4 linked regions of the Lepisosteus oculatus genome follow. The protein of the gene in region 2 interacts with the protein of the main gene of each other region in a pairwise test. Links are inferred from orthologs where the notes say so. Each region holds a gene or a part of one and is shown on either strand. Other genes may lie near its edges.

Region 1 (6,900 bases), on a different chromosome or scaffold from region 2:
TCTGGAGTTGCATTTTAATATTATGTCGATGAATAATATAATCGCACAAAATCCCACTGGCTCTTCTTTACAGTTCTGAGTGGAAGACTAGTGCACAACGAACAACTTATTTGATACCAACATAATTAATTCCACAGTACCTTATAGCATTATTAAAAAGCACTGAAATAAAGACATAAAATGACATGCATTTTGACTTCAAATTACACTTAAACTATAGGCCTGCAGAGAATGTAGAGCTGATACCCCCCAAGACTCTTTAGGACCTGTCTGAAATAAACATCTTTCACCTTTCTGTCTCAGTCTAAGGCTCATACTCGGCCATTCTTAACTTGTGAGGGCTGTCTCCAAGTCAAAAGAGCATTTCTAATGTCACCATCAACTGCTTACTCAGGGAGAAATACCCCTGGCCCTCATGCTATTTTTAAACCATTTGAAGCACACAGGAGCTTGCATAAAGACTTGAATGTATTCTTCATAAAAGCATATTATTGGGACTCACTCCTTTTTAAACATGAATGGTGTTGATGGAATTAGAAAAGGAAATGTTTCTTCACACGGACGGGGGAGGGGAGGACAGAACAGACTTTCTGCTCAGGTGATTCAGAAACCCTGCTCTCCTTCAAGAAGCAAGTGAACAAATTCTAGACTCTCTGAACTGGCAAGAAGGGCTGTCTTGTATTTGCAGCCTGTTGTGCATATTGACCTAACCTTGAACATCTGATACGCAAGCCAGCTGCTGACACTCCTTGTACTTATAACAGGTCCCAACATCACTTGCTGCCTTTTTTCTAGAAACCCCAGCAGAAATGCAGATGGCACATAGCCATGACATCATCATAGGCTTGGTATGTAAAGGAATGTCCTTTTGCTGAGCACCATGGCAAAGTATTCATGCTTTTCCCTAACATACTGTGCATGTATACATGCTTTATTCCTTCCACATCATAAAGCAGTCTAAATTGATCTCAATCTAAAACTATTCTTGATGCAAATACTTTTTCAAATAAGATCTCTAATCTTAAAATGTACTGTAGGAAGTGATTTATATACAGCACTAACATGTTTGTTTGCACAGTAATTAACTCTTTAAAAACAGAATCATCCTAGTGATACAAATTACAGAGCTGAGAATAATATTTATCTTAGTTACATGTGCAATTACAGCAAATATAACACTAAAACAGGATATTTTAAACAATGAATCAAACACTTTGATTCCAACTTTTTCTTTAGGTGTTAACTTTGGCTTGTGAAGTTGTAAGCTTGTCTTTAGAGTAAAACATTTTCCTAGTGACAGGGAGTTTTGTAAAAACAGGATTCTAAAATGTACAGAAAATCCCATATCTTCCAAGACAGAGCAAACTGGTAGTGGGGGAAAAAAACATCCTGTAACATTCAGAGATAAACCCATACCTGCTTTTAACAGGTGCTTTCCAAAACTATAACAAAATACACTTAAAATGTTTTAATTTAAATTTACCTCAAGCCTGCGAAAGCATCTTCACTAAAGGACCAAGGACCTTTAGTTAAGGACTAAAGGACCAAGGCAAAAGTATTTTTGCTGTATGCTTCCCTTGCGAGAGTATTTGGCTCTGAATAGCATGCCAGCATCGATCCCGCTTATCGATACTACTACTGACATCCGCATCAGCGATTGCCAAGCGATACCGGACAGAAACAGATGTTACTATCTATATCATTAAGCTTAAAGGTGCTGCAATGCATAAGCTACAGATCCCACCCCTCCCCCGACCCACAATAGCCTCGGAGAAGGACGAAAATTGAATATATGCAAACGTAAACAATACGTTACCCAGTGCCAGGCCCACATGCTGACCAAAGCTTCGCAACAAGTTCCGAGACCCTCTAACCAAAGCGGCCATGTTTCCTTCCCCTTGACCTCAGCGTCGCGGTGTCAACGCTCGAGTCAGGAAGTGACCACGGGGGTGGATGAGAGTGACACCGCCTTCAGCCCAATCAGAGGCAGGGTTGCCCACTATAGCCAACCAGAACCCGGGAGGGGCGGGATATCCTATAGCTTATCTTTGGAGCCGTGCGTCTTTGCGGGAGTTGCATGTCTGTAGAGTTTACACATTCAGGTTCGAAGCCAATTTAGAAAAGACAATTAGATGGATTCAAAGAGAAGCGGTTTAATAAATAATACCAAAATTCCACCAATATTAAATTAATTTACGAGGTTACCTTTCAGAGAGGTCTTACTTGGACTGTAAAGTTGTTGTGTCCTGTCTCTGGCTGGTACAGCGATTTACACCAATTTTTTTTATATCTGTTTTTTTTTTTGCAGGCAGAATACGGAGTTCTTGTATTATTGGGGTTGCATGGCATTGAAGAAACCCAGCAACAGGATATTATTATCAGGGACTTGCAGGATACAAGTACAATAGCCAGCAGCCATATCACCCTGCAGCTCACAACTAGCAACCCACTGAAACTAAGCAGGTGTGAACCTGGTCAGTACCTGGATGGGAGACCTCCTGGGAAAAACTAAGGTTGCTGTTGGAAGAGGTGTTAGTGGGGCCAGCTGGGAGTGCTCACCCTGTGGTCCATGTGGGTCCTAATGCCCCAATATAGTGATGGGGACACTATACTGTAAACAGGTGCCGTCCTTCTGATGAGATGTAAAATTGAGGTCCTGACTCTCTGTGGTCATTAAAAATCCCAGGGCGTTTCTCAAAAAGAGTAGGGGTGTAACCCTGGCGTCCTGGCCAAATTTCCCATTGGCCCTTACCCCTTACCCATTGGCCCTAATAATCCCCATCTATGAACTGGCTTCATTACTCTGCTCTCCTCCCCACTGAAAGCTGATGTGGGTGAGTGTTCTGGTGCACTATGGCTGCTGTTGCTGTCGTGGGAAGGGGAGTCCCCATTACCTGTAAAGTGCTTTGAGTGGAGTGTCCAGAAGAAGCACTATATAAGTGTATTATTATTATAATATCATCTCAGATAAATGAGATCTCAGTACATCTCATCTCAGTCCATACCATCCCAGATACAATTTCCAGTATGTTGCAGAACTGGTCTAATTCAGTTTATTGCACATTGCTCCAAAGCTAAATTGGTTAGACCAGGTACTCTTCTTCACTCACCTGTCACTCATGGCCATCATAATGAAGTGTGGGTATGATGCCTGACGCTGCCTTTATTCCTTATTCATCATCCTCTGAAGGTCAAGGTGACATTAGACCAGTAGTGCTTTATACTTAAGTATGAGTCCAGATTTAGCACAGGACATGTGGACAGTGTCTTTTGTTGTTAACTAATAAAGAGCAAATGAATGGTTTTGTCTATGTGCAATGAAAACAGTTTTTGTAAAACAGCTTTATTAAAATGTTTCTGTAAGTCTCCATGCCACCACAGTTATTGAGTGATGTGATGATGGCATGAAATTGTTTTTATAGGATTTTAAAATACAGTTTCTATTGAGTTTTTTTTAAGATTGTGATTAGACATTTGCTGTACTGCAGAGATATTCTTTCTCCGTAGTCTGGGTAGGATTGTCAAAACCTATGTTTTTACGTGGATATTTTGGAAGATTTGAGGAAATATAGAGGTAAATTGAAGGATTCATTATCTGGGATTCAGGATGATGAGAGAAACCCAGGATCTGTTTCTCACAGCAGGACAGAATAAATCCTTAGCTTTAAATTTCTTTAAATTTAAAGTTTTTAGAGTGGTGGGAGTGTGGAACGTGCTACCCACCCGTGTTGCTGAAGACGGTGCCAGGCGAAGTCTTTGGATCAAACAAGTTTTTGCAAATAAGGGGGTTGGAGGGTGAATGACCTCCTCTCATTTGTCACCTCTCTTATGTGCTTTTGAAATAAAGGCACAGATGCACAGTCAATAACTTTACGCCTGCGCAGTGGGCAAGGGCACCGATCCCGGAAGTGACGCATCGCCCCTCTTCCAGGAAGAAGGGCAGCGGCGACCGTAGAGCTGCGTCAGTGACGGTTTACCAAGGTAACTGGGGTTTTACTTCGATTTCACATGGCGAACGGTTGTTGTGTGGTTATTCGTTAATGTAGTTGTGTTCTGTAACGATTATTAGTGTTAGTCCTTTTACGTGGCAATGTAAAAATTGTGTGGGATTTGGGTTACGTTATCATTCCCAGTCCAGCAGTGACGAACCACAGGCTTAGCCGTGTTTAAATAACAAGCAGAAGGGGAAGAAATTGAAGACAAACGTTTTGGAGCTCAAACTTTGATTGTAGTTCTGCTTGGGTTGCGAAGGGATTTTAATGTTGAAAGTCAGTATTAATGTTTCAACTATCGGACTATGGACTATGGATTCGGCCGTAAGGCCCTTAGGAACATGAAATAAACTTTTTATTTCTGCCCACCACTTGTATTGAAAAAGAAACTAAAGTCGGTTGTTGTCTGTCCTTGGACCGTTTGGTTTCGATATTTGTTTTGACCTTTGAGTTTAATTTTGTTTTGTTTACATCCATCGATAAGCGATCCGAGCATGCTGGCGTGTCAGTTAACAAGCTTTTTTCAGGAGGAGACTGGACTCCTAGATTAGTGAGATGTTTAATATCTCTTCAGGGTGCGTTGCTTTAACAGCCTCGGTCGCTGTGGGACCCTGCTGTTGTTGATGTTCGGTAGTAACGAAAAGTACGAAACCCCAACAACTCGAATAACGAGTTAATAATAATAATTATTATTAACTCGTGAGCGTCTGCGGGTCGTGACGACGCTGTGTTGGCGGCTGCACTGGCCAATCGCAGGCCAGAGCCTTCAGTGGTGTTTACCTAACGGGAATGTCAACAGTGGCCCCGGACCAATAGGGGGGTCCGGGGGGCGGGTCCGTCGAGTCTGAGCGAGTCAGGCTGGTGTTGCTCATGAGCGTCTGGGAAATTCTGTTGGTGATGAACTGTCATGATCTGCACGACTGGGGAATTTCGGCAGCTCTGTCGGCGAAGGTTACACAAAACCTTTGAAACCCACCTCACCCCCCCAATCTCTCGTTTCTGTCTGCGTGCCATTGTACTGTAAAATGAACGTGGTTTAATAGTGGACGTTGTGAACGATGATGCTTTTCAACTGATCTTTCGTTTTGAATCGCACCTTAAGCGTTAAAGCCTTTCATGCACATAAAAAAACCAAACGGTTATTTTAGTAGTTACTAAAAGTCTTTACGTAGGCAAAGATGTTTTATGTAGGCATTTTTATTTTTTGTAATTGGTTTCTGATGTTCCCAGCACTGACGTCTCGGCACTTAATGACTTGTCAGACGGATTCATATTTGTGATTGTTCACCTTTGCCCGGTGCTGGTAGGATTCCTGGGAAAACAGCTGATCTAGTCCTTTACGGTTTCTGGCTGAGTTGTTTTAAATTGATCCTGGATGGAAATTGTGCTGTTTAATCGGGCCCTACTTGTGCCAACGTGGCCAATGACAACCGAGTTGTTGCCAGTCCCAGCTAGGAGCCTGTCGACTCTGAACGATCTCATCTCCAAGCACACCACAAACTGTTGTGTCATGGTCTGTGTTGGAAATCTGAGTTGCAGTGTAGCAGATAGGGGAGTCTTCAAAACCACCACTTCTCTTTATGGGTTCTTTGAATTCATTTTATAATCACTCTGTTTTGCGAAGTACAGTCCATGGAATGATACTGGTGTACGATAGGTTCTGCAGTTGTGTGATATGATAGTGTGATGAGTTGTCACGTGATTAAACATTGAGGACAGCTCTGTGCTTTATCCTAATTGAGGAAGTGAGACCTTGCTGGATGAATGTGACTGCAGGTTGCAGAATGAGTAAATTTCTTAAATGACATGATTCTCATTTGGTACAATGCAAGGCTTACCTTTTATGAGTTTGTATATCAATTCTGTTATTAATTTTAGGGTACAATTAGACAGTGAAGGATTCTGCTCTGATATCTAATATCTGTGAGCTCTTTTTACAAAATAGATCATGAAAGCTTTGTGTTAGATGGGGATGTTTTTCATGGAATGCTAAACTGTTAATTGCTTGGAGATGACAAAGTAGATTCTTTGGGAAATGAGTTCTGTAGTTCTACATGGGTAAAGTACACCTAGTTTACAAAAATGAAACTCATGCGACTGGCCTCTAGAGATAAGTACTAACCAATGAAGAACATCAGGAGAGAGTCAGATTTCTGTTCTGAGCTGCTTTGTAACTAGACAACATAACTGCACGCAGGACTCTGCTTTGATGACAAAGATAAACTGTCATCAAATTGCACTAGATCAGAACACACATAACCTTCAGGATCGAGGTCACACAGATGTCTTCCTTTGAAAATCTAGTCAGCCCTTTTAAAAAGCAAGATTAAAAAAAAGTTCTTTGCTCATGAAATCTCTCATGAAAGACCATTCACATGGACATTTAACAGCGGTGACAGGACTTGATTCCATCAAATTGATTCTGACTGAATTAGGTGTGATCATGAAACTGATTTAGCTTACTATGTAAGGAGGTCTTTTAACTCTCATCTAAAGAAAGAAAGTCTGAGAATAAAAAGGCTCTTCCTGCATATCCAGTCTTTCCTTTTGACATGGAACAGTTCCTTTATGTCACTGAACTGTACAGCTAATTAGCAGAGATCTGCACGGCTGTATTGTACTTGCCATCTGTTTCTCATACCATTAGTATCTGAGGTATCTGAAAAAATATAAAATATCCTTATTTTTTTTGGTAAGAATTAAATGGAGGTTGTGAATATTCAGAGCCTTGAGTACAATGGTAACAGGTGAAAGAATACTAGTAACTAGTAGCAAAGATGGTGAAGTAATTTCCACTGCTTCCCATTTGCTGGACTGTGCTGTGTGTCCACACCCCTCCTGTGTGCGTTAACAGGATCTGAAGGATGAGAGCCGAACACAGGAGCCCTTCCTCGTGGGTTCGACACAG
Region 2 (7,370 bases):
ACCTAAACCCAACCTCAATTAACTGAAAGGACACCTTTCGAATTTCTGTGCCAGTTGAGATCAGATTTATTGCAGAACTACTGCGGATTCTTTTTGTTTGGATTCTCTTACACCACAAAGCAGACGTTTTAGTCAAGCTGTGAACACACAAATTAAAGACCTATCGGTAGCCAAATAAATCATAAAAATCTCTGGTTTAAAGGGTTTTGATTGCAGGAAAGACAATTCAGCCCTGGATGGTATCTTTGGAAAGTACTCTAAAATATATATGTGCATTGTCTTTCTGAAGACAGAACTACACCACATCTGCTGACACAATGTGGTTGTCTCTGCGTGGTCAGAAAATTAAGTTCTATGCAAATATGGGGTGTATAGATTTTAAAAATAGGCTGGATAGCAGCAATCTAAGTCTATAAATCGGACTAGTAAGTCACCCTGGATAAGGACATCATCTTAGCACATGCAGTAGATATCAGCAGGAAAGGGCAGTGCTTTCATAGTTAACGTATAAAGGGGACGATTTTCAATTTCAACTTACTGCACAGCAATAAATATTTTGATGCATTTCAAAATATTACATATACTCAGGTTTTCAAAAGGTTCATGACCTTGGAATCTTTTACCAATAGTGGACCCACCAGGGAGAAGCAGCACTGTGATCTCAGGAAGTCTGTAGAGTTTTAGCTCTGCACAAAAGAGATGTCACTGGTGCTCTGGGCCAGTATTCTCACCCGGTAAGCAAGCCTGCACAGCTCCAGGGACAGCGAAACACTCTGAGGTCAGAACACTCAGAACACTGCCGGTCTAGATGGTTTGCATTCAAACTAATTATTTACCAATTCATGCGGTGATTCACATTTGCACCCATTTGTACAGCTGGGTGATTATACTGGACCAATGCAGGTGAAGGACCTTTCTCAAGGGTAAAGGGGTGTAACCCTGGCGTCCTGGCCACATTTCCCATCGGCCCTTACCAATCATGGCCTCCTAATAATCCCCATCTATGAACTGGCTTCATTACTCTGCTCTCCTCCCCACTGATAGCTGATGTGTGGGGAGCGTTCTGGCGCACTATGGCTGCCGTCACATCATCCAGGTGTATGCTACACATTGGTGGTGGTAGAGAGGAGTCCCCATTACCTGTAAAGCGCTTTGAGTGGAGTGTCCAGAAAAGCACCATATAAGTGTAAGCAATTATTATTAAAACAGCAGTGTCTCCCCTGGGATTCGAACCCACAACCTCCCAGTTACGAGTCCAGGATCCTGACCACTGGGCTGCATAGTGTGTGGCCGGTCTGAGGGAGCAGGAGACCCAACCATCACCATTCCTGACCCGAACGACTCAAAGATCCCAATCCCAACCAGAACCAGTGGGTCAGTTCCATCTCACGCATCATCACCTCCTTCCCAAGCTCAACCAAAGACCATCCCATCAGAAAAAAGGGGTGGGGGTTGGGGGTGCAGGTATTTCCAAGCCAACTACTCGCCCTTTTTTACTTGCAGAGTCCCTGCATTCCATTTTGTAGGGCTTTGAAACCGTCTTACCAGCTGCTGTTAACAACAATGCCACGTTAATACACACTGTAGCTTTGGCAGCTGATCTGGTCTGAGATGTTACACAGCTTGTATGACGTTTACTCAGACTCGGGACCGGATCACCACTGGCTAACGATGTAGTTCTTATCCCTCACCATAATTCCCCCAGCCTTTCTTTCTTTATGAGCATAAATGAAATGAAAACCCTTTCTGAACCACAATGCGAAACCTACGTTTATTTTTAAAAGAAAACTCGTATATTCTCTAGGATATTCTCTATTCTCTAGGATGAATTCTGCACCGGTGGAGGTGCGCCTTTTTATTTTTAAAAAATACATTATACACGAAAAATGACTTTCTTCATCTTAATCGACAAAACCAAATTAAAACTTAATCTGTCTCCCGGAGTGTTTGTTTTAAGATCCTAAATACGAATTCACTTCGTCATTTAATACCGAGTTTCCCCGGTTCATTGTTAAAATGATGCCAGCAGCGAGTTGCAAGGTTAATATTCAAGGATATTCAAGAAACCAGGCCTCTACCCCAACCCCAGCAAGACGATATTCAGTAAAATGTCTAAGATACAAGTCCCGTGGGAATGAATACGATAGTGTTATACAAGCCTCGACATTATAAGGTACGTTAATTTAAACGGGCTGAAATAGATTTAGGTGGATCGGCGGATCGCGGAATTTCGCGTTCTTTTATCACTGCTTTCGGTGGTGCTCTGTAGACAAGGCAGTGTCCATTTTAGAGTAAATAACGAAGCTCGGCGAAACACGTACACAGCCTGACATCCCCTCTCCTGGCGCATAAAACAATGTCGCCAATCCGTAACGCATAAGACGCGAACGGCATTTTTTGTCTCCAGAAGGTTCCGGATTTGCAGCAAATGATTATTATACCATCGAGGTTACACAAGGACAGCCCCACAGCGCTTGCTGTTGACGCTTTTACCTCCGCCGCCGTGATCCTGCAGCATAAGCTACGCAGCTGCTCTGCCCAGGTTTGCACACTGACACCAGACGGGCCTTGTTGTGCTTTTACTCGGTTCGGCGGCCCAGAACCCGAATCCACGTTCTTGGACCGTCAGCCGACCCCCGCGGTACCGTGTCCGCCGATTGTTCAAGAACGTCCTTACGAGATGCACGACCAGGGACGTGAATTGTTCAAATAACAGTTAAAAACAACAACAAAAACAAAACCCTTTAACCCAAGTCGTCTCCGAGGCGACCGAGCCTGGATCGAAAACGACCGGGTGCCTAAGACGGCTTACCTTTACTGTTCATCGTCCTGAATTCCTGTGCGGGTTACTCGAATCAGAGGGAGAGAAAGACGCGGAGCTAGGTTTCGGGCCTTTTTTTTCCGCGATAACAACAAAACACTGAGGTCTCCGTGCAAAGTTTTTCCTGTACTGTTTCACTTCCTTGTTTGCGACGCTTGCCTGATCTATGCGCGGAGCCGCGGTGCTGCGCGTCACCGCCACTCCCTGTTGGGGGAGGCGCGCCCACAGCCACTCAGGAGTCCTGTCAAGCGAAACCAGGCCGTTAGTTGAAAGACTGTAACCTGTGCAAAAAGACGTAACTTGTCGTCTCCCCTTCTCCTGTGCAACGTGCATTTCTTTTTTACAGAAAAAGAGTAGTACAGCCCAAAAGCTGTAGCTAATACCTGGATGAGTTCACTTAATTAACTTCCAAACGAACTAGATGGACCGGTTGGTCTCTTCTCGTTTTAAAACTTTCTTGCATTCTAATATATTAGATGGTAACTTCAGTGTTTGACAGCGGAGAGATTTCGATCAGCTTCCCGTTGAAATGTCCTTCATCTTTTATCACCACACAAAACCGTGGTTCATCGTAGTTTATTATGCATGCATAATTTGTCATTTAAAGACAAGCGGCACGGATTTGCTTAGACTCTGATATTCCATCAATTTATTTCTTAAATGAACGTTAAATTAGCTTAAATTAACGTCGCCTTATGTCTCAAGTTAATCATTTATAAATGACCTTCGTAAAGTTATTTATAAATAGTTGACGTGTGGTATTTATTCTTCAGTCATTTAAGAACAATGAAATCGTTACACGTGTTGTCGACACAACTGACGGACTTGCAGTTTACGCGCTTTGAATTCTCATCGCTGGACGAAGTCGGTTTTCGCCCCGTGGAAGGGGTCGCCGAACCAGACCGTGGCAGGCGGAGCAGACTTGCACTGTGTTGTGTGATATTACCGGTGCTCCGGTCGCTAAACCCTTCAACACTACCGCCACCTGTAGGGACTTCGCCTGCGCCAAGTCTGACGGCTGACTTCGGCCGGGGCGAGTGGGGTGCGGCCGGCAGAGGGTGCGATTGCGGTTTATTCCAGTCCCTCTACCTGGGTTGCTTAATCTTCTTCTGTCAAGCCCGCGGGCTCCGAGCTCGCAAGGGCACAGCGCCGGCCGCCTGCAGAGGGAGAGCTCAGCGCTCTCCGCAGTCCGGAGGGCCCGACCAGTTCTGTAACTCGCCCGGAGCGCGGAGCCATCTCAGAGAGTGTCGAAACCTGATCCCATCCTTCTGCGTGCGCTCAGATTTACTACAGGACACCAAGGGCGGATCGCAGCTTGGTCTGCGGCCTCAGGCATGTCATGAGAGAAATCCACAGGCCTTGATCTCCTAAAGCTTCTGGAAGAAGTTCCGTTCTTGAGCCGCTTCCTCGCGCGGCATCGGATTTCTACGTGTGCATTACTGTAAAAGTATTTGTTCTGCCGTTGTCGTCAGGAAATCGGGGCAGTTGGAGATGCTCACACTACGTGTGAAGCGGCTGGACGATTGATGTCTGAGCCTCAGGTGTTCCCTTGTACTGCCTTCGCAGTGCTTCGCAGCTCAGGCTTGCCTGGGCTGTGGCGTTTCTGTCGTTCTTCGGCCTGCCGGAAACAGGGCAGGGGAGAACCTGTTTTTATTTTCACTGAGCTGAGCTCCGTCCACAGACGGATCACGGCCTGTCGTGGATCACGGAAAGTGGAAGGGAGCAGTAACAGCAGCCCTAAGCGGGACTTTGATGTTTGTGGAGATAGTGTGTCTCCCTGCTTTAACACAACACCTCCAATGTAGAGCTCTGCTCGAGTGTGAATTTACTGTACACACAAGCTGACTATGACCCTGTGAAAACGGTTCAGGCAGAAACACCGGTGACCCAGGACAGACACCGATCCCGTTTCCAAGGAACTCTGCGAAGGCGTCATTTCTGGGGATGAACTCGCCTTCACAGAGTGTGTGACCCTTATCTTCTGTCAGGTCATCTCTGAAGGCTTTTACACAATTAAGCACAATTAAGGACACGGGTATTTGCAAATGAAATCCAGCTCTTTGGCCCATCTTGTTTCGTTGATTGTGGCATCCTGGAGTGAGGAACTCACCCGGCGCATTCCTGAAAGATCTGAGGGGAATGCTTTAGTGCCGCGGCTCGCTAGCTTGTTCCAGACACCCGCCACCCTTTGTGTAAAGGCGTGCCTCCTTGTTTTCTGTGCGGTACGCCAGAGGCGAGATCAGAAGTAGCCCTTCGGCTCACGGTAGGTACAGGGAGGGGGCGCTCAAGGTTTTCGAGGAGAAGGTTTCGATTGGAGAGAAAGGTCACCTCTGCGTCTGTCGGGTGCTGAGCGGGTGAAGAGTTAACTGGGAGGTAGGCGCTGCCAGCCACAAAGCCTTGGCCCGGTGTCTGAAGTGGAGCTGCGTTGATGCCTCTCATTAAACTATGAATTGGCTTCATTACTCTGCTCTCCTCCCCACTGATATCTGATGTGTGGTGAGCGTTCTGGCGCACTATGGCTGCTGTCGCATCATCCAGGTGGGGCTGCACACTGGTGATGGTGGAGGGGAGCCCCCATCACCTGTAAAGTGCTTTGAGTGGAGTGTCCAGAAAAGCGCTATATAAGTGTAAGCAATTATTATTATTATTATTATTATTATTATTATTATTATTAAACCCCCTCTCGCAGAAGCAAGGCCGGCTCCTATGGGTGCATACTGGGAGAGTGAGAGTTGGACACTTGGGATCCGTTAATGAGGAAGTCGGGAGGTCTGGGTGGTGGAGAGGTGGCCGGGGGTTATGGGAGTGGGGGGGGGGCTGAGTAGCGGCGGTAGTGGAGGTGGTGGGGGGTAGAGATGCACTTGGCTGCAGGGCTAAAGGAAATCTGTAATGAAACAACGCAGTCGAGTGGAAATCGACGCTCGGATCTGGGCTAATTAGGGATTCAGCAGCATTCCGCAATCCCAGCTCTCCCCTTTCAGTGCCGTGGTAATGGTATGCTAATGCATTCAGATGAGACGGGTTGCCAACTGGCAGGAAAGCAGTTAAATATTCATGACCAGAGCAATCTAAATACATAACTACATTTCCAGGGTCTGTGCAAAGAAACCTCCCTGATGGATTTTGTGACCATCTCAGGTTGAGTTCTTAAAGGATGTCCAGAGGTGTCTTCTCCTGGATTCAGGATGCAGTAGTTGAGCTTCACCTGGCTGTTGCGGAGAGCGTGTTCGAGTAGAGGGAGGAGCCGGGCGAAGTTCGGCGAGCGCTGCCTAGCTGCGTGTCCCTGGAGGTGCAGGCGTGGAGGAGAGGTTCACCTGAGCTGGCAGGAGGGAGCTCAGCCAGGTGCGCAGAACACTCCCCTGTCTACCCCCCCCTGCTTCATGGAGAGAGGGGAGCACACCTGTCTACCCTCTCCCACCTGACCAGAGACAGGACTCTGCACAGGCCTCCTGCAGTAACAGCAGCAGCTCAGAGGCTGCCTGAAGAGATGGCCTTCCAGCGACTAGTTTATGTGCCAGATGCTTTTATCCGAAGCGACTAAACATTTGCTCTCATTTATACAGCTGGGTGATTAACTGGAGCATTTCAAATTGCCCAGGTCTACAACAACAACAACAACATTGTTTTCCCTAGGATTTTAACCCACAAGCTTCCAGTTACCAGTCTAGAACCCTGACCACAGCTCCACAGATACAGCAGGGGAGTAAAGCAACATGCTTCCTCTAATGGGGGAAATGACCTTTAACCTTTAGGCTGTAGCCGCAAGCCCTTACCTGGATTTACTGGTGCAAGGCTCTGGCCCGAGTCTGATACTAGGGCTCGTCTATGGACAGCGTGTTGCTCCATTGTACTTTTTTGGACACTCAATCTCTATATACAGTACCTATGCACATATTTCACATATTTTATTGTTTTTACAGTGACTATGATCATATTTTGCACACACCTATGTATTTATTTATTTTTATATTTATTTTGTATTACTGTACGTATTCTAATTTTTCATCTATTCTGATGTCTGTTTGTTTTCTGCTTGTCTTGGGCTGGACTGCTGTAACACATCAATTTCCCTTCGGGATCAATGAAGTCTTATCTATCTATACTGGCCAGGAGTGAAGCTGGGCTTGCTGTGGTGTGTGATGGGAGATTGTGCCCAGTCTTGTACAGGGCTGGTTTACCAGAGGTCACTTGAACTAAACAGCCACATAACTATTGAGACTCACCTGTCTCTCCTAATCCATGTCAGCTCTTTCAGCCTGGCCTTGCATCGTGCCTAGGAACATTGTCCACCCTGTCCCTTATAAAACTACTCAGGTGTGTTCAGTTTAGCATAACGTGTCTTATAACAACACTACTCTTCCTACGCTACACAAGAACTATTAATGTGACTGCTATATTGTAAGACTTGAAAAGAGGGAGAGTCAGAGAACTCGGGCAAAACAGACAGGTCCAATCCAAGCTCCACTCTCAATAATCAGTTGTGCCTTCTTCAACAGAAATGCTTTGATCAGGCTTTTTGAGGATCTCTTGCCCTGGAGTGCTGCCCCTA
Region 3 (6,942 bases), about 1.4 Mb from region 2:
GATGCCAGGGAGGGGCTGCGCCATGGAAACTGCCACGGGCGCCACGGAGACCGCAACGGGCGCCATGGAGACAGGAGGCGCCATGCCCTGCGCGATGGTCTGGGCCAGGGCGGCGGAGAGAGGGGTGATCTCCGGGTTGAGGTGCGGCGGGGGCGCGGAGGGAGGGGCCGCATTGCTCGGGGGAGCTGGGGGCGCCGCGGCGGGGGCCACCAGGTCCTGCTGGCTCACGGGGCGCGGCTGCAGGGCGGCGCTGCTCAGGGTGGTGTGCGTCTGCGCGATGCTGTGGTTGTAGGAGCTCACCGAGCCCACGGGGGGCGCCAGGTTCTGCTCTGAGGGCGCCGGCGTAGAGGACAGGGTCATGACCTTGGCCTGGCTGCGGAACTGGGCGTTCTGCTCCAGCAGCACCTCATTGGTGGCAATCAGGTTCGACACCTGCGAGAGAGGGAGGGGGGAAGACGGACGAGGAGTCAGCGGAGGAAACGTTAATTCGAGGGGGTGTTCGCTGCCTCCGTGTCCCTCCTTTTTCTGATCCCTCTCACCCTTTCTTTTCGGCCCGAGCCGTGAGTCTCCCCCTTCTCTCACCTGCTTCTTCAGCTCCTCCACTCTCTTCCTCAGGAGCGCGTTCTCCTCCTCCAGCAGTCTGTACTCCAGGGGCCTGGGAGGCGGGGGGGCTGCCTGCACCCCGAGCTCATAGTGGCCCCCGGCACACCCACCGCCACCCCCTTCGGCCAGCCTCAGCCCCTCCAGCCTGCGTCTCTTCAGCTGCACCGCGGCGTCCACGGGGTCCTCCAGGGGCCCGGGGTCGAAGAGCCCCCCCTCGAACAGGGGGTCGTACAGCGAGCAGGGGCCGCGGTCGAACCTGCGGGGCCCAGGGGCTCCCAACGACAGTCCTGCCCCGCCGCCCCCCACCCCCGGCATTCCGGGGTCCCTCGAGCCCCCCAGACTGAGCCCGCCCCCAACACTCAGCAGGCCCCCCCCGCCGCCGCCCCCTCCCCCGCCCACAAGCCCCGAGATCCCCCCGCCGGCCCCCCCCGCCCCCCCGACCAGCCCGCCACCCCCGATCCCCATCCCCATCCCCATCCCGCCCACCCCCAGCCCCCCGGCGCCGCCGCGGGCCGCCTCGTACTCGTAGTCCTTCTTGACGTGCCTGAACTTGCACTTGCTGCCGCGCTGGCACTCGCCCTTCAGGAAGTCCCGGCAGATGGGCACCTCGCCGCGGCTCAGCGGCAGGTCGGTGGGCGAGAGCCCCAGCCCCGCGGCCACCTTGCCCCGCAGCCTGAGGGGCAGCTCCCCGGTCTTCTTGTAGTAGTCCTCGTCCTCCTTGGAGCCGTGCACGAAGCGGCAGTTGGGGCGCACGCACTCCTTGTTCTGATGGTCGTGGCAGAAGATGAACTCGTTCTTCTGCACCCCCAGGTCCGGCACCTCGCTGAAGTCGGGGTGCCGGAACCGGCAGCGCTTCCCCCTCTTGCACACGTTGCGCAGGAAGTCCCGGCAGACGTCGTCCAAGCCGGGCCCCGCCCCCAGGCCCCCGCCGGGCCCCCCGCTGCCGCAGGTGCTGCCGTTGCCCAGCGCGCTCCCCCCGCCCATCCCCCCGCCCCCTAACCCGCCCCCGGCCCCGCCCCCCACGGACCCCACCCCTGCCGGCCCAGACCCTCCCCCCGCCCCGGCTCCCCCTCCTGCCGCCCCCCCCGCGCCCCCTCCCCCACTGCCCCCTTCCTCGCTGCCCGAGCCGCCGCCCGCGCCCCCCCCCCCGCCTGACAGGTACGCGCTATCCCGGTCAGGCATGGCGCCGTGCCCAGGAAAAGGGAGACGCGGCACGCATGTGGGTGATCGCGCGCACGGGCCTGGCTCTGTGTGGCAATGTTCGCGCGGACGCCTGTCTGTGCGCGTGCCGTGGAGTCCGCGTGCGGCTCTCTCTCTCTCTGCGTGTCCGAGTGGGCGCCGCGTTCCCTGGGCTCCTCAGCTCAGCGATGTCCTCCGTGGAGACATCTGCAACAGACAATCAAACAATGTTGGAGAGCGAGACTCTGGTCCACTGCGTCATCCATTACAATGGCGCTGCAATACAACGTCAACAAGGTGATTAATGTGAAACAGCAGGAGACCCAAGAGTGTCTCAGACTCTACTGTCTGATACTCTTGATCTCAGGTAATAACTAATCAAGAGGACGGGCAAGTCAGTCCAGTACAGCCTGTAGTACAGTACAGACTCTACTGTCTGTATCTCTGGGAATGTGGTTCTGATCTCAGGTAATAACTAATCAAGAGGACAGGCAAGTCAGCCCAGTACAGCCTGTAGTACAGTACAGACTCTACTGTCTGTATCTCTGGGAATGTGGTTCTGATCTCAGGTAATAACTAATCAAGAGGACAGTCAACTTAGTCCAGTACAGCCTGGAGCAGCTCAGACCCTACTGTCTGTATCTCTGGGAATCTGATCTCAGGGAATAACTAATCAAGACAACAGACAAGTCAGTCCAGCACAGCCTGGAGCGGCTCAGACTGTGACACAGTGATTAGCACTGATTTCACTGAGATCTGGATTAGTTATTTCCTGGCATTATACTCGAGACTCCCATTGACACCGGCAGTGCAGACTGAGACACTCCAAACGGGGCTGGACTGGAGAATTCAGCAGCTCCTTGCCCTATAATGGAACATTATTTATGCTGCTCCCGCTAAGTATTGCTACTATGCACTTTAGAATTTCTGCACGACAACAAAAAACCTCACTAAAATGAACGATATCGACAATACTATTAATAGTCTCAACACGTCACACCACGGCCTACACTCAACAGCAAATTGCAACGCCTTACCTTGAACAACGTTGCAGCACCGGGAAAGGAAGTTTGTGCTCTTTTATATGTCGTGGTTCTCTCGGGATATTTATTATGCACGTTTTATGAAAAAGCATTTATATTTTTATTTTATAACTAAAATATTTCAAAGAACACGAACAACAGCACCCAGGCACACTCCGCACTGGTCCTCCAAGACCGACGACTCGCCGTTCCCAACCAAGAGCGACTCACCTCGGGAAGCGCTAACTTCAAAGAGGTGGAGGAGAGACCCAAGAGCGCCTCCTGTCGGCATTCTGCGACACTGCCTAAACTCACTGTGAAGAAGGTTTAACATTGTTTTGGATTGACGCAAAATTCAAAGAGGATGGATTCCGCCACTGACTGTAGGCAGACGTAAACAGTATCAAATATGTGTCAAACACTACATAATTAACAGTTATGGTTCTAAACAATTTCTAATTAAATACTTATTAATTAGAAACTCCTGGGGCCATAGACTTAAAAATACTGTACTTGGGCTCTGGAAGTAAGCATTAATACAAAAGTGAGAAGAAACCCAGGAGCTGAAAGAGCAGCTTATATTTCACCCCTGCAGCACTGGGGTAAGAGCTCAGGCATAGGGATGTTAATGCCCATCACGATCCAAAAGGAGGATTTTGGGTCATTTTGTAATGGCAGCACTACCATGTAGTGACCACCCTGCTTTAAACAATGCACAAATTCAGTATTTTTAGTGCATTTGAAAATCCAAACACACCTTTATACAAAGGGGTGTGGGAGTGTTGAACAAGGCTCACAGGTGTGTTAAGACCCTAATTTCTTTCAGGGAAGAGCTGGCTGAGATTCTCTGCTCAATTAATAACACAGCCAGGTCAAATGGTCTCCGTGTTGCATCCTCTCCTGTTAATGGTAAGTGTGATTCTACTGGGAAAAGTAGCATTGCAATAGACAAGGGGCATCAACTACCCCTCCTGCAGGGGGCACACCTGTCCCTGGGCTGCTCTGCTTAGACTGCAATACAAACATCAGCCCCATCCTTCCTGAACAGGTTAGCAGCACGGATCCAAAATCTGACAGCAGTCACGCTAAGCAATCCATACAGACCGGGCACAGTGGTCTACCGGTCTTAAAACACTCACTCAAAATCAAGGCTTAAATGCAGCCACTCAGGTGCTGGCAGCCCAGCCAGTCAGCAGTAAGCCAGGCACATCAGAACTACACCCCACCTGCCTGCACAAGCTTCTCTTTACACAGACCCGCTGCTCCAGTCCTGGAAGGCTGGGGCCCTACAGGTGGCTTGGAGTGGAGCGAGTGAGAGACTGAATTCAAGGATCACAGACCCCTTTCTAACAAGCACCTGAGGCCTAGAGCTGCCCATCCCCAACCCCCTGGTGCAGGCCACAAGAGCACCAGGGAGTTACTCCGTAAAAAATAAAGGGAACACTCATCAAGATGGTTTTTAATACCAAAAGAATTTATTGAAGGTTTTATACAAAGCAACTGTGCTGGGCTGGTGTCAAAGAGTCCAGTGCCTCCCAGAGGAGAGCTCAGGCGCCAGTTCATCTCCTCCTCCTCCTGGTCAGGTCGTCTCTCCCCCACAGCATTGCCTGGTACATGAGGGGTGTAACAACAGGCACGTCCTCCAGCTGCAGCAGCTCCAACTCCAGGCCTGCCTGCCGTCCGCAGGGAACAGGCAGCGGGGACAGAAGGGCTCACAGTTGCAGTGGAGAGAAGCCAGTTTACTTGGACCTCTGCCTCATCTTTCTTCTCTTCCGCTTCAGCCTGTGACCACAAGAGGGCAGCGGTTAGCAGCACACTGACCGGGAGCCGAGCCGACAGTTCTGACCCAGGACAAGCTGGCCTCCCGCTGAGAATATTACAGTGAACCCTCATCCTTTATACAATTTTCTCAGTTTCTACAAGTTTCTTGGTAACTTGGAAGAGTTCAGCTCTGGTACCCCAAAACCACCCGTTACCCCCCCATCCCTATACAAGAGCATAAAACGCCCAGGGTCCCCAAATCAAACCCAACTCCACCAGATGAAGTGCTAAGCGATTTGCCAGTGTAAAAAGTGACCCAGCAGCCCTGCTACCCCCTGCCCCATAAACACTGGTTTAACAATAATAATAGCTTACACTTATATAGCGCTTTTTCTGGACACTCCACTCAAAGCAATTTACAGGTAATGGGGACTCCCCTCCACCACCACCAGTGTGCAGCTCCACCTGGATGGTTTAGAAACCTTAGCCACACAGGGCACTAGCACAGGAGTGCCAGGCTGATGCTGCAGCCCAGTCCCAACACTCAGGAACTCCCTCATCCCCACTGCCAGGGAACTCGTCGCCTTCCTTGCTTTATTGGGCTGTGCCATAAGGCCAACTTTGCCCCCTGGGATAAAATTTTAATTGAGCCTGCTAGAGAAATTGGTCAGCAGAACCAGCTTAAAGACCTGTATTATTTAGCAGTTCAAAGCAGAGCTCAGCCCATCGTTTACAACCCCTCTCGCCATCCCCATTTTGACTTTTCAACTTCAGGGAGGTATTTTAGAATACATGTGTACAATAAATCCTTTGTTCCCCGTGCAGCCAGTATATTAAACACAGCTAAGCTTCATGCAGGGAACAGTTGCCATCAGATTAGTGTACATTGCTGCAATAGCCAGTAGCTATATTGCTCTGCAACTCACAGCTGGCAGCCCCCTGCAGCTCAGCAGGTGCGAGTCTGGCCAGTAGCTGGACGGGAGACCTCCTGGGAAAGCTAAGATTCCTGCTGGAAGTGGTGATAGTGGGACCAGTAGGGGGTGCTCACCATGCAGTCTATACTGGGGCATTAGGACCCATACAACAATGGGCAAACTATACTGTAATAAAAAAGCACCGTCCTTCGGATGAGGTAAAACTGAGGTCCCAACTCTCTGCAATCATTTTTTTTTTAAATCACGCAGTTTCTTGAAGAGGGTAGGAGTGTTACCCAAGCATTTTCCCCTGGCTTTTATCAATCACAGCCTCTTAATAATCCCCATGTCTGAACTGGCTTCATCACTCTGCTCTCCTGCCCACTGACAGCTGATGTGTGGGGAGCAGACCACCAGCCTGGCTGCCGTTGCTTCATCTAGATGGTGCAGGAGAGCCCAATACCCATCAAGAGCTCTGAGTGGAGTGTCCAGGAAAGCACTCTGTAACTGTAAAGGAGTAGTGCAATATGGGCAGAAAGACATGCATATGTACTGCTGCCCATCAAGCACTTGTTCATTTTTCCATGTTTGATGCTAAAGAGCTTTACGCCTTTTTAGTGGGACAGAGTTGTATCTCGGCTCCACTCCTCACGATTCATCCCAGCAGAATTTAGAGACCCAGCAGGGCCAGTACAGCCCCAGCTAGGAGTCCCAGCGCGCTACGGGCCGCACTGCCCCCTTCCAGCCGCCGCAGCCTGAGCCAGGAGCTGCAGCGTGGACTCGGCTCCCCCACTCCTCCTCCTCCCCACCGGCCCGCTCGGCCGCTTACCTGCGCATTCTCTTCTTCCTCCACTGCAAAGAGAGAAAAACACCGTCAGTCAGGCCGAGCCCCCCAGCCCTGCCGGAGAATCAGCCCGCACACGGGGCAGGCAGAGGGGACTAACTGCACGCCGGGCCCACTCGGAAACTCGCCTGAAGGGCTTGTATTCCAGGTGACAGCGCCTCGCACGGAGCCCGAGCCGAGTGTCACACGGACACCACGCTCGCTTTCAGCCCCACGCCCGCTCCGAGCCAGGCCGGACAGCGATGAGCACCCCCAGCCGGAGGCTCACCAACAGCCCAGGCCGTTCCGGCAGCAGAGCGACCGCTCACGCCCCCAAGGCAGCCTCTCGGCTCGGGGATCTTCCTGTTAGAGGCTCAGTGTGGTCGCGCAGGCCGGAGTTTTAAAATGGCGCTAACCTATCGGCAGGATCGTTCCGCTGTCAAAAGTCGAAGCCGCTGCACTCCGAGGCGGCTCAGACTCTGACCCCTCTTCCCGAGTGACAGGACTGCAGCGGCTTGTTAAGACGCGCACAGCACCGCTGCCCCGATCTCCAGAAAGCACGCAGACCTTCAGCTGCGGAACTGCGCGAACACAACTGCTAAACATGCGTCAACAGACCGGTATTCGACAGAAAAAACAA
Region 4 (7,847 bases), on a different chromosome or scaffold from region 2:
GCTCTAGATAAGCAGGTCGTGAGTTCACTTAAGGGTCCTGTTATCCTTAATGTTGTGTTCAGAATTTAGAGAAACGCTAATGTTACAGTTGATTTAGACACAAGGCAATGTTAAACTACATAAAATTGTTTAAATAATAATAACTCACAACTGGCAATCCACTGAAGCTCAGCAGGTGTGAGCCTGGTCAGTACCTGGATGGGAGACTCCTGGGAAAAACTAAGGTTGCTGCTGGAAGAGTTTTTAGTGGGGCCAGCAGGGGGCGCTCACCCTGCGGTCCATGTGGGTCCTAATGCCCCAGTATAGTGACGGGGACACTGTACTGTAAACAGGCACCGTCCTTCGGATGAGACGTAAAACCGAGGTACTGACCCTCTGCGGTCATTAAAAATCCCAGGGTGTTTCTCGAAAAGAGTAGGGGTGTATCCCCGGCGTCCTGGCCAAATTTCCCATTGGCCCTTACCAATCATGGCCTCCTAATAATCCGCGTCTCTGAACTGGCTTCATCACTCTGCTCTCCTCCCCACTGAGAGCTGGTGTGTGGGGAGCGGACTGGCGCATCATCCAGGTGGGGCTGCACACTGGTGGTGGTGGAGGGGATCCCCATGACCTGTAAAGCGCTTTGAGTGGAGTGTCCAGAAAAGCGCTATGTAAGTGGAAGCAATTATTAATTATTATTAACTGTTCATAAGAGTGTGAGTATTAACCAAGTGACCTGGCTGCAATCTCTGTGTCTTTGGGATTTTGTTCCACATCTACTGCTAATTGGCCGGGATTATGAAATCCTTAATCACACGGGCTGTTTGGTTTTCATACTGTACTAAGGTCTCAGCTTTGGAAGTAATCAGCACTGTTAATGTATTTTTCTTCCAGTTGGAGCCATTTACACAGGCATTTTACTGAAGCAATCTGAATGATGTCCCTCTCTCAAAGAGACAGATCTGCCAAGGACTGGTCCCAAACCTATCAGTTTGCAATCCAGACTCTCTGCCACTCCTCCTGCTTGCTCAACAACCAGCTCCTTTATGTGTATTTTTACCAGGGTGCTTTGCGAACACAATCTCTATTTCATCTGGGTGTAAAATAGTCGCTGTCACATCCAATAAGATTTCTGAACACCTCATTGTCCGTCAGTGAGCGACACATCCACGCAGACGGCAATGACACTGTGACAGGCACTCGGATTATAGAATTTCACACTGTCTAGCACCACTGATTACACTTCCCCTTGAAACCACTGTCACAGCCGAGAGGAATTCTGAATCCCAGCTCCTGGCCAAGGGGTGGAAGATGACGTCTCAATCTCTCTTACTGTCCAGAGGCCGGAGCTGTTTTTTCTCCGAACAGCCAAGCGTTCAATTCTGGCTCGAACACGTGTAATTAAGAAGGAACCCTGCTGGAATAAAAGGCAGGAATTCCCAGACCCTGCTTGAGAAGCACTGGTCCGTTAGGAATTATTATTTTGGAATTCCGTCTAGGAGAGACTGATGCCTCAGAAACCTGGTATAGAAACACTCGGGTGAGCCAGGTCCTTAGACAATGACTCAGGGCTTCTCCTTTATATAAAACACCCTTTTAAAATAGTTCACGGACATATTTGTGTGTATCTCCCAACGCATTCACACATACTCCCAAGTATAATGGGAATCCACCTATATCAGGTGTTCCAGGACCGGTTCTGGGGTCCAGGGGACCCCCAAACCTACTGGTTTCTGTTCCCCTTAAGTTAAATAATTTAGCTTGAGTAATGTAAATAATTTAACCCTTAGTAGACCCCCAAAACAGAATTATTTTGTACCCTTAAATTGCATTTTAACTGTTTTCAATTCCTATATATCTAGGCTGTGTTCCAAGTATCTTGAAATATCCTTTCAGTACCACAGAGTGCGGCAAAGATTCTCAACAGGCAACCTGTTGGCTTAGTTCAGGATTTATTGAACTCTATTAGGTGACCTTTGCACTGTGCCCTGCAGATGCCTTTTCTTCTGGAGGTGAAACTTGAAGATGACGACTAAATATGATGATGACGACTGGAAACGCTACAGGAGCACGGACACGGCACGCACAAGCGAGTCTTTAAAACGGGGCCGGCCTACAAACTTTCGGATGACCCATTTTAGAATAGAAGTTACTACCAGAGTATGGTGTGCTACTGTACATCACTAAGATTTTTTTTTCAAATTAAAAGGCCTGTGCCCTAAAGCCGACCTTTTCAGCTGCCTCTAGCGCGTAAAACCAGTATTCCTTCATGATTTATTGATCAAAGAACGAATGAAAATCACGTTGATTTCGTATCCCCCCCAGAACCAAATCCTTGTGATATTTACGCCCCGGGACGCGAGGTTCGAGACGAGCCATCCTGCGTGTAAACGGCAGCCGGTCAGACGGGGGACTTACTGATCGCAGTCACGACGGTCACCGCCCCGCACCTGGTCAGTAGACTGAACCACTGCCCCTGGTCCCACATGTCTCCCAAGAAGAAGGGGGCGTCGCTCCCTCGGGGTACCTGGCACCAGCTGGGGTGAGGGGGGATAAGGAGAAAGAGGGGGTCTGTGGAAGGAAATTGCCCCCTGGGTTTCCGTCGGCCTTGAGAACGCGACCCGTTTCTGAGCTCTCCGAGCAGCGCGGCTATGAATAGTCCTAAGCGAGCTAAATCAGACCTGATTAGAGGCTTCCATAGTAGATTAATGACTAATTCGAGCGCAGGAACACTCGTTGCGTTATTTGCCCCGGCTCTCTGAATCCTCTGTTAAGACCGATTACTGCCAACAGTGCAGCTCTGCTCTGCGCGGTGACTGGGGCAGCCAGAGCCACTTCTTAGGGGGGTTTTGTCTCGAATGTGGGTGTTTGCGCAGAGAACAGCCACAAAAAATAAATACCTAAGCAGGCCCCAAATAATCCATTTCAAAAAATAGAACGAGAGTTCTTATTTTAAAGGGTTTAAAACACGGCCAGGTATGCCAAAATTAACACGTTATGACAGAGGTAATTTATTCTCTAGTTCAGCGACATATCTTTTTCACCGTTAAACCCAGATCTTGGACGCACGTGGACATCCTCCAGACATTCTGGAATAATCTGTGTTGAACCCAGAAAGGAAAATTGGAAGAATTAATTTGAGCGCTGCAAACCTCGCATTTTTCACGATCGCAGGAGTTGTATCGGGGCGAACTACGGCGTTGTATGTAGGTCAGATAAGAATGAGAACCGCCGAGCCCGTCTGAGCGATGTCCCGCTGTTCGCGGCTCAGAAATGATGCTTAGACCGCCATCCTCCCATTAACACAGTGCCTGACCGCACACTCACATGGGCGGTTTGTGCTAACGTGCTATAAAAGCATGGGTTTACATTCCATACATGATTTTTTTAAAACAAAATCGCGCCTGTTTTAAAACAATTCAATTCCCACAGCTGCTGAGCTTTCACAACTCAATAAAAAAACAAAAAGATCGAATCTAAAATGAAAACAAAATAACTACCACAATGTTTTTTTTTTCCTGAAGGCCTTCGTTGGGATGCCCGCTGACAAGAATATGCCAAATACTCTCGTGTTGGTTTGGGGCAACTGGGGTGGTCCTGCGCCAGCGAGCCGTTGGATAACGCATTTTGGTGTGTAGACTTATTCTCCTTTCAGTTTTTACGTAGCAGTTTTATTGATTTTCAAAATCACTGTTTAAATATTTCCCCGTGAAGGTGTGCAGCATAATGTTTATTTTGTCACCCCGACGACGCAGTAAAATACGTCCTATAAATGATGAAATAACGTACACTCGACCCATACGATCACAGCTGTTGCAAAGGTACATCTGTTTGTACTCTCCTGTCTCTAAAAATGTTAACATTTCGGAGGAACCACTGGCGTATTTGATTAACAAAACTGTCGTTACAGTTTAGAAAGTATTGCTGCAATAGAAAGGACACCGTTTGACGCAGTTCGCGCATTTTGCTTGTGGATGAAGCCGTTCCTGTCGGCCAAACCATTGTTCTGTGCAAAATCGTTGCTCCTCCGTCGTTTACGTTGGCAATATAACTCAATATTTCTCTTCTTAGAAACAGGATTTTGTGAGACTTTATTGTTATATAGACTTTCTTGTTTCATAAGGCCTACCACTTATTGTTGAGCGATTTTAGTAAAGGGAAATAATCGTCGTTTCTTAAATGGAAACCTTTCTGAAGTATCACCTTGGCCAAGTTTGGCCGCCATCTTGTTTTCTGTGGCTACATTTACTGTATTTTACACCCAATTAAAAATGATATGTGATACTGTGGATTTTATATTATTCGTGTATGGTTATTTAATAAATATTCATCGCCTGGATAGGGCGGAGTGTGATGTGTGTGGCCAAGGGGGAAATTTTATTTGGTGGATCAAGACCTCCACTGTGTTCCCCGTTGAGTATTCAAGATGTGATATCTTGATAGATGTAATATCTGATTGCGTTTCTTTTTCTTGACTCATGTTTTGCCGCATACTAAAATGGTGTATCATGTATCATTTCTTTCAAAATACCTCACAAAATGGACGCACTTAGTGGAAAGCATAGGGCCCCCCCAAAGCAAAATTGGTGCTTTTATTGAGACTTTTAAAAGTGTAGGTTCTCAAAATTTATATCAGTCCAATTGAGGGAAGTGTTTACACCTTACTATGTGATGTATTATTTTATTCCTCCCCCAAAATGGACACAAAAAGACCCGCGCGAGCCACAATAAAAGGAACTACTTCGAGAGATTCTGCTCGGGGCGGATTTTATTCGGCAGGGCCTCGGTGACGTCACCCCGCCCCCGCCCCTTTCGCGGCGCTCTCCTCCAATAAGAGCCGCGGGCTGGCAGGGAGGAAGTGACGTTGGCCTCACCAGCGCCGAGCGACAAAAAAAAAGAGAGGAGTGAGGAAAAAAAAAAATCGCCTGCCTGCCTGCCCCCAGATCGGGCTTATTTGTTTTCACCGGGTGGGCGAATCCCCGAAGCTTCCTCAGAATTTTAATTTTTTTTTCCTTCATTTTTTTTTTAAATTTTCCGTCGCCCACCGGGGAAGGAGGACAGACGTACGCGAGGTGAGTTTGTTGTGATTGTGTGGCGGGTATTGTTCCCTCTGGTGGCGTCGGAGCGCGCGGCTCATTGTCCTGCCGGGGGGACCCGTCTCCCCCCATCCCGACCGGCGAGCGCCCCAGCCCCGGAGCCCACGGGCACGCTGGCGTGTGCGTGTCTGGGAGAGGGGGGGGGGGACCCGGGGTTCCTTTAAAGGCGGCTGCCCCCGGTTTCGCGGGGGAGACGGCAGGCTGGCGTGTGTGCGCGGCGACGCGTCGGCCATGTTGGACGGGCTGTCCGGGCTGAGGAGGGAGCTGCTGGGTCTCTCCGCCCCCGCTGGCCGCCTGCGTGCTGGGTGCTACTTTAATTGCTCGCTGTGCAGGAGAAGCCTGGAAATGCGGCGCGATATTGGACTACAATGTGTAGCGTATAATGTGACTCGCACCAGCGCTGTGAGTGCAGGACAGTTTTTGCCTTGCGGGTTTATCACGTCATTGTTTCGTTTATTGTTTTTAAAAAGCCCTCAGTGCAAGTGTGCAGGGTGAAGATGGACGCTGCGTTCTGATAGGCTGCTGCGCGTATGACGTAAACGGCCCTTCATGTCGTGAGGTCAACTTTCTGCGAGGTCTCGACGTCACTCTGACGTCACCGGTGACAGAGTGAAACGGGCGGGCGTTTTTATAACGCACGGTGTTCGGTACAGGTTTTTTTTATTTGGCTCACAATTTCAGAACCAAACTCGCTCCGAGCCCGAGGATGGGAGGAGAACTGGAGTGTTATGTATGTGATTTTTCATTTTGCCGGATTGTGCACCCCAGGGTGGGAAATATTTGCTTTTACATCACTTCGGTTGTAGAAGTCCGAAGACAATTAATTCATTTGGTTGGTATATTATAAATAAAACAGGCCAGCAGCCATATCACCCTGCAACTCACAACTGGTAACCCACTGAAGCTAAGCGGGTGTGAGCCTGGTCAGTACCTAGATGGGAGACCTCCTGGGAAAAACTAAGGCTGCTGCTGGAAGAGTTTTTAGTGGGGCCAGCAGGGGGCGCTCACCCTGCAGTCTGTGTGGGTCCTAATGCCCCAGTATAGTGACGGGGACACTATACTGTAAACAGGCGCCATCCTTCGGATGAGACGTAAAACCGAGGTCCTGACTCTCTGTGGTCATTAAAAATGCCAGGGAGTTTCTCGAAAAGAGTAGGGGTGTAACTCTGGCATCCTGGCCAAATTTCCCATTGGCCCTCACCAATCATGGCCTCCTAATAATCCCCATCTATGAATTGGCTACATTACTCTGCTCTCCTCCCCACTGATAGCTGATGTGTGGTGAGCGTTCTGGCGCACTATGGCTGCCGTCGCCGGCAGCGAGGTCCAGCCCATAGAGAAGGGCGCCGTGTCCCCCCCTCCTCCTGGGCTGGACTGGTAGGCCGGAGGGATACGGTCTTCCGCACGTTTCCAAGGATCGACCTCTCACAGCTCAGGGACGGCGTGACTGTTCGCCAGGACAGTTTACAGGGTGGTGGTGGTAAATCCTGACCCAAGATCAATGCCTCAGCCGAGCTGGAGACCACAGGAGTCGGCTGTGTACTGGGGGACGCTGCACTCCTGTCTTGTCCACAACATACCCCCAAGATACCCCCCCGCACCTCTGCTCCTGGAACTTGGACAGCAGCTCCAGCATCTTACTGACGGTCTTCTTCTTGGCGGCGGGTTTCTGCGCGGGGCTCAGCCCCGAGGGGGGGTCGGCGGGCTTGGGGGGCAGGCTTTCCGCCTCCAGGGGCTGGGCCGGGGGCGGCAGCGCGGGGGCGTTCTTGGGCGCACCGGCCACCTTGGTCTGCACGGCGTACGCCCGGATGGTCACCTGGCGGAGGAGCACGGACAGGCTGGGCTGAGGAATATCTCAACTCAACGACAGCAGCAGCAGCAACAACAGGGGTGAATGTGGCTGATCAACAACACTCATCATAAGCTTTACCAATTCTGATTTCGTCTTACGGGAAAACTGAACACCATTTAGCAGTGGCGACTTCATGGGAGTGTGGAACAAGCTATACAGCTGATAGCTGATGTGTGGTGAGCGTTCTGGCGCACTATGGCTGCCGTCACATCATCCAGGTGGGGCTGCACATTGGTGGTGGTGGAGGGGAGTCCCCATTACCTGTAAAGCGCTTTGAGTGGAGTGTCCATATAAGTGTAAGTTATTATTATTATTATTATTATTATTATTATTATTATTACTGTGGTGCGAGTTACATTTTGTACGTTTGTGTGTTCTCTCAAGCCGGTCTTTTCGAGCAGGTTTCTAGAACTCTGCTTGAATGGTATCTCCCGGCGTAGAACCCCCCCCCCCCCCATAGAAGAAGTGGAATAATCCGAGTCCTTCTACAAAGAGTCACTCTGCAAGGATCTCTTTGCCAAACAGGTTTTCACAGTGATGAGTCAATGGAGTGGGTGTGATTTTAAACGGTTATGTGCGCGGCTCGTATTGTTAAATGCATTTTGCTTCTGCAGTGCAGCCTTGAAGATAAGGGAGGAGACTGCGGTTGAGATAATTGATGACAATTGTCCCCATCATACATCAGACCCCTTTAGCTCCCCCTTCAGTTTTTTATGTATTCAATTAAAAAAACAAACCTCGTAGCTCGACAGATGGGAGGTTGAAACTGCCAGGCACCGCGCTTCATCTTTTACAGAGAGCGCGTGCGGAATTGCAAAGGCACTGCGCCTCGTGATCGCTTATTGGAAGCCCACTGAGATAATGGCGGCTGCTTCTATGTCGGATCCCTACGAGATCCGCGTACGGGTGGGGATTCTCTC

Evidence for each region.
Region 1: the proteins of dazap2 (region 2) and tax1bp1b interact in binary tests that used the Homo sapiens proteins (3 or more experiments, as listed by UniProt). The two-hybrid records come from large-scale screens. The link is inferred for Lepisosteus oculatus from reciprocal best matches to the Homo sapiens genes DAZAP2 and TAX1BP1.
Region 3: the proteins of dazap2 (region 2) and zc3h10 interact in binary tests that used the Homo sapiens proteins (3 or more experiments, as listed by UniProt). The two-hybrid records come from large-scale screens. The link is inferred for Lepisosteus oculatus from reciprocal best matches to the Homo sapiens genes DAZAP2 and ZC3H10.
Region 4: the proteins of dazap2 (region 2) and pogzb interact in binary tests that used the Homo sapiens proteins (3 or more experiments, as listed by UniProt). The two-hybrid records come from large-scale screens. The link is inferred for Lepisosteus oculatus from reciprocal best matches to the Homo sapiens genes DAZAP2 and POGZ.

Annotation. Positions count from the first base shown.
Region 1 is NC_090705.1:398,548-405,447, reverse strand, and holds the start of tax1bp1b (tax1-binding protein 1 homolog B), read left to right. Parts: upstream 1-3,892; 5' UTR 3,893-3,981; intron 3,982-6,900. Other genes in the region: hibadhb (3-hydroxyisobutyrate dehydrogenase b), read right to left, coding at 1,817-1,886.
Region 2 is NC_090696.1:16,039,643-16,047,012, forward strand, and holds the start of dazap2 (DAZ-associated protein 2), read right to left. Parts: upstream 3,010-7,370; 5' UTR 2,826-3,009; coding exon 2,813-2,825; intron 1-2,812. UniProt on the Homo sapiens protein: In unstressed cells, promotes SIAH1-mediated polyubiquitination and degradation of the serine/threonine-protein kinase HIPK2, probably by acting as a loading factor that potentiates complex formation between HIPK2 and ubiquitin ligase SIAH1.
Region 3 is NC_090696.1:14,680,658-14,687,599, reverse strand, and holds the start of zc3h10 (zinc finger CCCH domain-containing protein 10), read right to left. Parts: upstream 3,007-6,942; 5' UTR 2,820-3,006; intron 1,990-2,819; 5' UTR 1,786-1,989; coding exon 583-1,785; intron 433-582; coding exon 1-432. UniProt on the Homo sapiens protein: Specific regulator of miRNA biogenesis. Binds, via the C3H1-type zinc finger domains, to the binding motif 5'-GCAGCGC-3' on microRNA pri-MIR143 and negatively regulates the processing to mature microRNA.
Region 4 is NC_090722.1:3,868,474-3,876,320, forward strand, and holds the start of pogzb (pogo transposable element with ZNF domain), read left to right. Parts: upstream 1-4,826; 5' UTR 4,827-5,046; coding exon of another isoform or gene 5,047-5,147; exon of another isoform or gene 5,148-5,150; intron 5,151-5,406; exon of another isoform or gene 5,407-5,477; intron 5,478-5,501; exon of another isoform or gene 5,502-5,805; intron 5,806-7,847. Other genes in the region: retinol dehydrogenase 13, read right to left, coding at 2,398-2,516, 5,047-5,147. UniProt on the Homo sapiens protein: Plays a role in mitotic cell cycle progression and is involved in kinetochore assembly and mitotic sister chromatid cohesion.